2 linked regions of the Sus scrofa genome follow. The protein of the gene in region 2 interacts with the protein of the main gene of each other region in a pairwise test. Links are inferred from orthologs where the notes say so. Each region holds a gene or a part of one and is shown on either strand. Other genes may lie near its edges.

Region 1 (2,852 bases), on a different chromosome or scaffold from region 2:
TATCTATATTTATATAACACCCCATCCACCCCAGCCCTCCCCTCCCGCAGTTCCCGTGGTCTATGTTACAGACAGGGGCATAGCAGGCGCTCGCTGGTTATGGGAGAACATCTGATGATGGGGCGCGGCCGCACCCCGGGGCCAAGCTCGCCTCGGGGTAGCAGAGGCGGGCGTGGGGCAAAAACGGGGCGGGGGGAGTTGAACATACACACAGCCACACCCTCCGAAGAGGCTTGGCTCTTCAGAACAGGGTCTTCGGGGATCCCTTGGCACTCAGCGGGGCGCCCAGGCCTGTGCAACACAGCGGGACGCACACAGACACTTGGAAAGGGGGCGCCCGGTGCCTACCGCGCCGATTCCCGGCGCCAGAGCCACAGCCGCCAGGCCACGGCTGCGGGTCCGGAGGGCAGACGCCAGGCCGTCCGGTGGGGTCCGTGGGGGGGGCGCGGGTCTCCCTTCTCCGGCCTCGTGGGGGACCGGCCGGGGTGGGGGAGCCGTGCCCGCAGGGGCAGGCAGGCGGGCGCGGCCCTCATAGCACCTTGCAGCAGTTGATGCAGCCGTTCTGGGAGCCGTAGCGTTTCTGCAGCGCGGCTCGCGTGGCCGTCTCGAAGACCTCGCGCACGCCCTCCTTGGTCTTGGCAGAGCACTCGAGGTAGTCGTAGGCTTGGATGCGCACGGCCATGGCGCGGCCGTCATCCGTGCGCACGGGTTCCTGCTTCATGCGGGCCAGCTCAGTGCGGACGTGCTCGTCGCTGCGCAGGTCTTTCTTGTTGGCCACCAGGATGATGGGCACGTTGGGGCAGAAGTGCTTCACCTCGGGCACCCACTTCTCGGGGATGTTCTCCAGGGAATCCGGGCTGTCCACCGAGAAGCACATAAGGATCACGTCGGTGTCCGGGTAGGAGAGCGGCCGCAGGCGATCGTAGTCCTCCTGGCCCGCTGTGTCCCACAGCGCCAGCTCCACCTGCTTGCCGTCCACTTCGATGTCGGCCACATAGTTCTCAAAGACTGTGGGCACGTACACCTCAGGGAACTCGTCCTTACTGAACACGATCAGCAGGCACGTCTTGCCGCACGCGCCGTCGCCCACCACCACCAGCTTCTTGCGGATGGCCGCCATGAGCGGGCCGGGCCCGGGCAGCAAGAGGGGGCCCGCGAACGCCTCGCTGCCGTCCCGCTGGCCGCTCACTGCTCACCTCGGGCTGCGCGCTAGGGGCAAGGGTCGCTAGCTGCACCCAGGCCCCGGGGTGGCGCGTTCTCTCGCTGTGCTCAGGAAGCCGCGGCGTGGGCGGTAGGGGCGCGGGAGCATAGGGCGCACCGTACGTCTCCGCGCTGCTCCGGAGCGGTGGCGGCCCTCCTCGCCCCGGATCCGGGGTTGGCGCCTTTGTGCGCAAACGGTGACTAGAGTAGCAGACCCGGCCTAGCTTCCTCCCGGGTCGCTCTAGGCCTCAGCAAAGGTACAGGAAAACGAACGAAAGCAGGCAGACTGCGGTGGCAGATGCAGGCTGCGGCCCTAGCGCCCGCTATTTAAAGAGTTCGGCGACTTTCTTAATATAGCCGCCCAATGGCAAGCGAGCCGACTGAGCTCATCGCTGCGGAGCTTGGCTCTGATTGGCCGTCCGCTGCAGCCCAGGGGCGGGGCCGGGCGAGCTTGATTGACGGCCCAGGCCGCGGGGCTGGGAGAGGCGGCGACCGGGGAGCGTGCGCCGCGGCTGGCGCTGCGGGGCTCCGGCGACACCAGGGTTCCCTCCTTCGCCGCAGCTTCTGCGCGTGGGGCGGGAGGCCAAGAGCTAGCTACCAGGAGCCCGCAGGGCCTGGACGAGAGGTTCAGAAAGAAGCCGCACTTTGTGGGGCGTTAACGACTCCCTCCCACTCAAAATTGCCGCGCTGGCTTCGCAAACTCCCAGCGGGTGGTCGGACCTGTGGGGGACCGAGCGGTTCCTTTAACTTGGTTTTGTTTTTAAGTGAACGCGCGCGCACACACACATTCGTTTGTTCCCAAGCAAGGTCTTTTCCCTTTTCTTTCAGAAGCGGGCCCACCCCTGGTCGAGTCTGCCATCCCTGTCCTTCCACCAGGGTACCCGCCTAGAGCAGCCCGGGGTTTGGATCTTAGAGATGGTGGCTGTAAATTAGGTGACCCTGGGCCGAGCTTCTGGCTCCTCCAAGTCCTATCGCCTACCCCCTTCTCGGCACCCAGCCTAGGTCTTTAGGTAAAGATTCGGAGAAGGAGGGACGGTGAAAAGGGAAGGTCGAGGTTGGTTGCAGAACTTGAGGTCCGCTGGGAAGAAGTTACCAAGCAGAAAAAGGCAGCCTCAGCCCTGGATTTCAAGATTAATTCGGATCCTGGTCATAAGGCAGAGAACTGCCTGAGGTAAACAGTACAATAAAATCCAAATCCCCACCCCCACCCCACTGGGCTAGAAGAGGCTGAGGTCCCCCTGGGGAGTAGCAGGAGAAACTTGAAGGCTGGGACATAGCAAATCAGTGTCTAGTGGGGTGCTAGCTCCTAGTCTCCTGCTATCCACCAGGACTTAATCCATCTCTTCCTTGTATCCTGTAGGAGATGGCACCTGTGTCTGATCTAGAAGCTTCTGAGTGGATGGGTCCCAATGGACAGAAGGGGTGAGAAGAAGGATGGAGGTAGGGAGGGAGGACCACCCAAGGAGGAGGAAGAGCTTGAACCAAAGCAGAGATGTGACAAAGAGTAGGACAGATTCTAGGAACAGAGAATAGCTTACTGGGGCTACCCTCAGTGGAAAGAGAGAGTTGAAACTCAGGAGGCAGGCCAATCATGGAGGACAAGTACCAACTACACAGGTTGGGCCATATCCATTCTAGAGGCAAGGGGATGC
Region 2 (4,590 bases):
GTATAATGGCCTAAGCCCCTTATGGACACCATAGTAAAACTCTTTGATTGAAAGGACCTAGTAGCTGTTTACATATTGGTACTCGTTTCTGAGAGGTCCCTGACAGTAACTATACATCTCCCTGTAAGCATTTTCCCAAGTATTCCCACATCTTATTCTGAAGAATGGCTAATTATTTTGTTTTAAGTTATGATCATTCCTATGTCATTCCAGAAAGCATCTACTCTTACATCTGTGTCTAAAAGAACAAGGTTAGAGAATTCAGTGTGAATTAATAACATCAGCAGATACTCTCCAAACTTCAATCCAGTTGTTAATTTCATCTGCTGTCATTCCCTTATCCAGCCTTGTACAAAAGCTCGTAGGATTAATAAAGTTATGAAACTGTCACTTGTCAATCACTAGAGCTGATGGAGGAAGCAATGACATGAGTAATTGTAAACAGAAGGCAGTCTCAAACAGTGACTGGCTAGCTTCACAGGAAGCCAGTCACATCAAGAAGACGTCAGCCTCAAATTTTTAAAGTGCTGCATATATTCCTAAGATGATGGAGCATTAGTCATGTTAACCTTGTCTGCTCTCTCCAGGATCAACTCTAGAGGAATAGGTGATCAGGGAAATGACCAAAGATGTGGCAATTAGCAGGAGGAGCAGAAAAGAAGGGGAGGTGATTATCTATTATACTGGATAATTGAGAATTATCTATATAAGATATAAATTCAGTCATTTGGTGGCAATGACTTTTGTTCTTTTTTCGCCATGCTCACAGCATGCGGAAGTTCCCAGACAAGGGGATGAACCCAAGCCACAGCTGTAACCAAAGCCACAGCAGTGACAACACCGGATCTTTAACCTGCTGAGCTACAAGGGAACTCCAGCAGTGACTGCTGAGTTGGGTAGACTTATATTCCATAAAAACAATGGTGTACGAATTAGCTTGTCAGCATTTACCAATAACATTATCAGATGCCCAGCACTTTAACAATGAGATATACGGCTTTCTGTAGTTTCCCCACAGATACTGTCATGGAATAGCAGTTCCTAAAATATTGTTTTCTTAAATTCCTGACCATTTCTTCTACCCAGCAGAATGGGAAATTGCAAACCGTGAACTTTGATTTCAGAGCCAAACCTCAAAGTATGACTAGCTCTTGCAGAAGTAAATCCAGGAAAACCTGCTTCCACTCTGGATTTCATGGTGCTCATCGGTCTTTGGTACAATGTTTCTGCTCTGCTCTGGACATCGGTTGACTGAGCCAAAGGAGGAACCAGAAACCCTGAATTCTGGAGGGTAGGCTCTGTAGCTTGAGAAAAAAATGCTAAGCAAGAAGCTGGGAAGGTGAGTCTGGGGTTCAAGGGCTTTTGTAAAGGGAAGCAAGGAGGCCAGGGTATACAGAAAAGGGAATACACACAAAAAAGAGCGAATTTTTACACAGATGATTGATACCTCATTCTCTTAGTGCATGTCAACAGCTGTTCATAAAACTACCCTCTTCTGAGGTAGAAATTATGTTCTTTAGGCTTCCCCCACCATCATACCATCTGTCTGCAGTGTGCGGGTATGTAGGGATAGCTATGGGAGCTTTACAACTTTCCCCTCAGGCGTCTCTCCCTTCCTCCCCACCCAATCCTCCCACAAGGCCAGTTCTGCCTGGAAGACTGGACCTCTGATCTTCTGTGACCAGCCCTCACCCAAAGGACAGAGACAAATTGATACTAATCCTAACCTTTGACCTCTGAGGAGAAGTGAGCTAGATGCCGGGTAATGAAGAGTCTCAATTGTTGGTTCAAGTCAATGGATGATAAGTCAATGTTCCAGGAGAGAATGCCTGTGAGAGAAAAAGAAACAAAGAGGGACCTAGATAAGGTCAGAGGGACTAGACTTCTGAGAGAACTTCCAAACTCACAGAAGGGGTAAGGAGAAGGAAGGGATAAGAGCAATTGCTATGATCAGCCTCACTGATGTCTTTGAGAAGGGTGGCTAGTACCTTTGCCTGTCTCCCATCCTGTGCCTTTCTTGGGCTTTGCTGGAGCCAGAGGGAGAAGGGCAGAGTTTAGGCTAAATTTGGTCATTAACAAGTTTGTATGTAGGAATTTTCTTGCAGAGTTGACCAGGTGAGATAGAAATGACACCCAAGAGCCCCTTCCTTCTGGATACAGCTAGGTAGGTTTCTAAATTCTCCTTCTGTGGTCCCCTCCTTGCCTACACTCCTCCGCGGCTGGCTTCCACCCGCAGGTGGCTCCGCAGCACTGCGCCACAGGCAATGAAGGACTGAGAAGCCTGTGGTCACGAAGGTCACTCTCAGTCTGGCCGCTGGCACTGGGATATTTGAGATTTGTCTGCGGCGTTCAGAAAGCACCCTGTGCCTGTTCAGAAACCTAAAGAAGAAATTAAGGTAGGGACCTGGACTCTCCAGGGGATGGTGAGGACTTTTAGGGCGTCTGGCCCATGACACTGCAGGAGAGAGGGGTGCAACTAGAAAGGGCTCCCCAGGCAGTACACAGAGCTCCCCACCCCTCCTCAGGGAGTTTGTGGAACACCACAGGGTGTGCGGGAAGGATGGGGAAGCGAGATGTTGGCAGCTGGGGTGGGGGAATACAGATGTGTGACACAGAGGATGGAGGTGACAGGCCAGGGGCTGATGATTCAGATAACAGGGCGCGCAGATCTCAAGAAAAGCACACTACGGTTGGAGGATGCAGATGGCAAAGAAGCACGGGATGAAGGATGTCCCGAGAGCATCCAGGACAGCAGCTCACCTTGTTCAAGGTGGGCCCGCACGGCCCTCAGCTGACTCTCCGAACCGATATCGCCGATCACAATGAGCAAAGAGTGTTTCCTTAGGTCCCAGCGTGCTGCCGCCGCGGCGGCTCCGGCCTTGTACAGCGGCTCCGCGGGGTTCTGAGCCAGCGGAGAGCCGGGGCTTCGGAGCCCTAGCCCGGGACTTGTCTCCATGGCAACGCCGCGAGGCCGCCCGGGCCCAGCCTCGGTCTCCATGGAAACTCCTTTGGAGTGCAAGGCCGGCGTCGGCGGCTGGGAGAGTGCGCGCGGTTCTTAAAGGCCGGCGGCAGGAGCCGCTCATTGGCTGCTGCCTGTCAGGGGGCGGAGCACTGGCGCCGCAGCGGCTGGGAAGGGGCCGCGGAGCTCTGCTCTGCGGTTTCGCTGGGCCTGGGGAGGGGCTCGGGGGTTGGTGGCTGTCCCACTCCGCCCCCACTCATTTTCCTGAGAGATCTCACTCCGACTTGGGTAGGAGTGGGTTATCTGAGGGACCGGGTGGAGGGGCGAGTCTAGTACCTCGGCACCAGAAGCTTCTAGTTAGGATGTTTCCCCGGAAAAGTACTATCTGGCAATTCCGCAGCCTCACCCGAACTGAGGGGAGCCATCTTGTCCCTCTCTGCCTCGAGTTTATGTTGCATCCTTCTGTCCTTCCATGTTGGTGTTAACACAATTTGGGTTTGTTTGTTTTTTTTTTTCCTGACCTCATAGCCTCGGGCCCTGGGTGTGCACTGGGAAGCTGTGCAGTATCAGAGGGACAGAATGACCTTCCGGCCCTGAGTCCCTGGTGAGTTGTTATTCCGAAGATAGTGTTTGGCTGGTCTCCATCTCTGCTGAGTGCAGTGAGCTCAGACTGCAGCAAGGGGTGTTTCAGTAAACCCAAGCAAGACCTTCCCAACTACAAATAATGTGACACAGTGAGTTGGGTAACCTTGGAAGGCAATGGTATTACTTCCCCAGTGAATTCTCAAAACAGAAGGGACAATGTTTGAACCAAGAGAGGGCTTGGCCCTTCCAAAATGCAAAAAGCCGGGGGATGTGAAAGAAGACTAAGGAGGCTGACACTGTTTTATGACTGACTGGAACATCCTTGTACAAGTGGTGCGGTCTGCAAGTCTACCCCTCCCCCATTCCTCAGTGTGTCCCCACTACCTACTCTGCACTCCAGTGTCTTCTTTTACTCAGGATACTGAGTCATTCTGTATGTATACGTATCAGACAGAGCCTGTCTTTAACCCTAGGGCTCCAGCAGTACTTTTTTGGGTCTCATTTGTCTTACAGTTTCCGAATGGTATAATGAAGGAAGAGGAGCACAGTACCTGATTGAGCAAGGCTGCCTGTGAGCGGTGTTCTGATCCACCTCCTCTCCGGAGGCCCTGAGGAGGATTGGATAGTGTCTGCATTTTAAGTACCTCGCAGCAATCCTAGTTCCTATCATGGGACATATATTTAGCAAAACATCCAATCCATTCTGCGATTTGGACGTGGCCCTACCAGAAACTAACATAATGCTCTATGTCAATTATCTCAATTAAAAAAATTTGACATGGCCCTGAAAATCCCTTTTATAGCAGAGAGGGGGAAATAGTACCGGCAGAACATAAGATGGTGAGGATGCCTCACCCTATATGACACATGAGACAATGCTCTGCTACACCTCCACCCCACCATTTGCACGTCTGAATCTGGCAAAGAGCATAGAGAGATATGCAGGCCTCCTCTTCCGCAATCAAAAAAGAGTGCCACGTGGAGGCAGAGACAGAATAGGTTGTAGGGAGAGGAAGGGGACAGTTTCCATAGCAACTAGCAAGATC

Evidence for each region.
Region 1: the proteins of MAP1A (region 2) and RHOB interact in a two-hybrid assay, tested with the Homo sapiens proteins (2 studies listed by BioGRID and IntAct). The link is inferred for Sus scrofa from reciprocal best matches to the Homo sapiens genes MAP1A and RHOB.

What each region holds. Positions count from the first base shown.
Region 1 is NC_010445.4:117,774,341-117,777,192, forward strand, and holds RHOB (rho-related GTP-binding protein RhoB), read right to left. Parts: upstream 1,121-2,852; coding exon 530-1,120; downstream 1-529. UniProt on the Homo sapiens protein: Mediates apoptosis in neoplastically transformed cells after DNA damage. Not essential for development but affects cell adhesion and growth factor signaling in transformed cells. Plays a negative role in tumorigenesis as deletion causes tumor formation.
Region 2 is NC_010443.5:127,933,927-127,938,516, forward strand, and holds the start of MAP1A (microtubule-associated protein 1A), read right to left. Parts: upstream 3,027-4,590; 5' UTR 2,999-3,026; coding exon 2,761-2,998; intron 1,830-2,760; coding exon 1,728-1,829; intron 1-1,727. UniProt on the Homo sapiens protein: Structural protein involved in the filamentous cross-bridging between microtubules and other skeletal elements.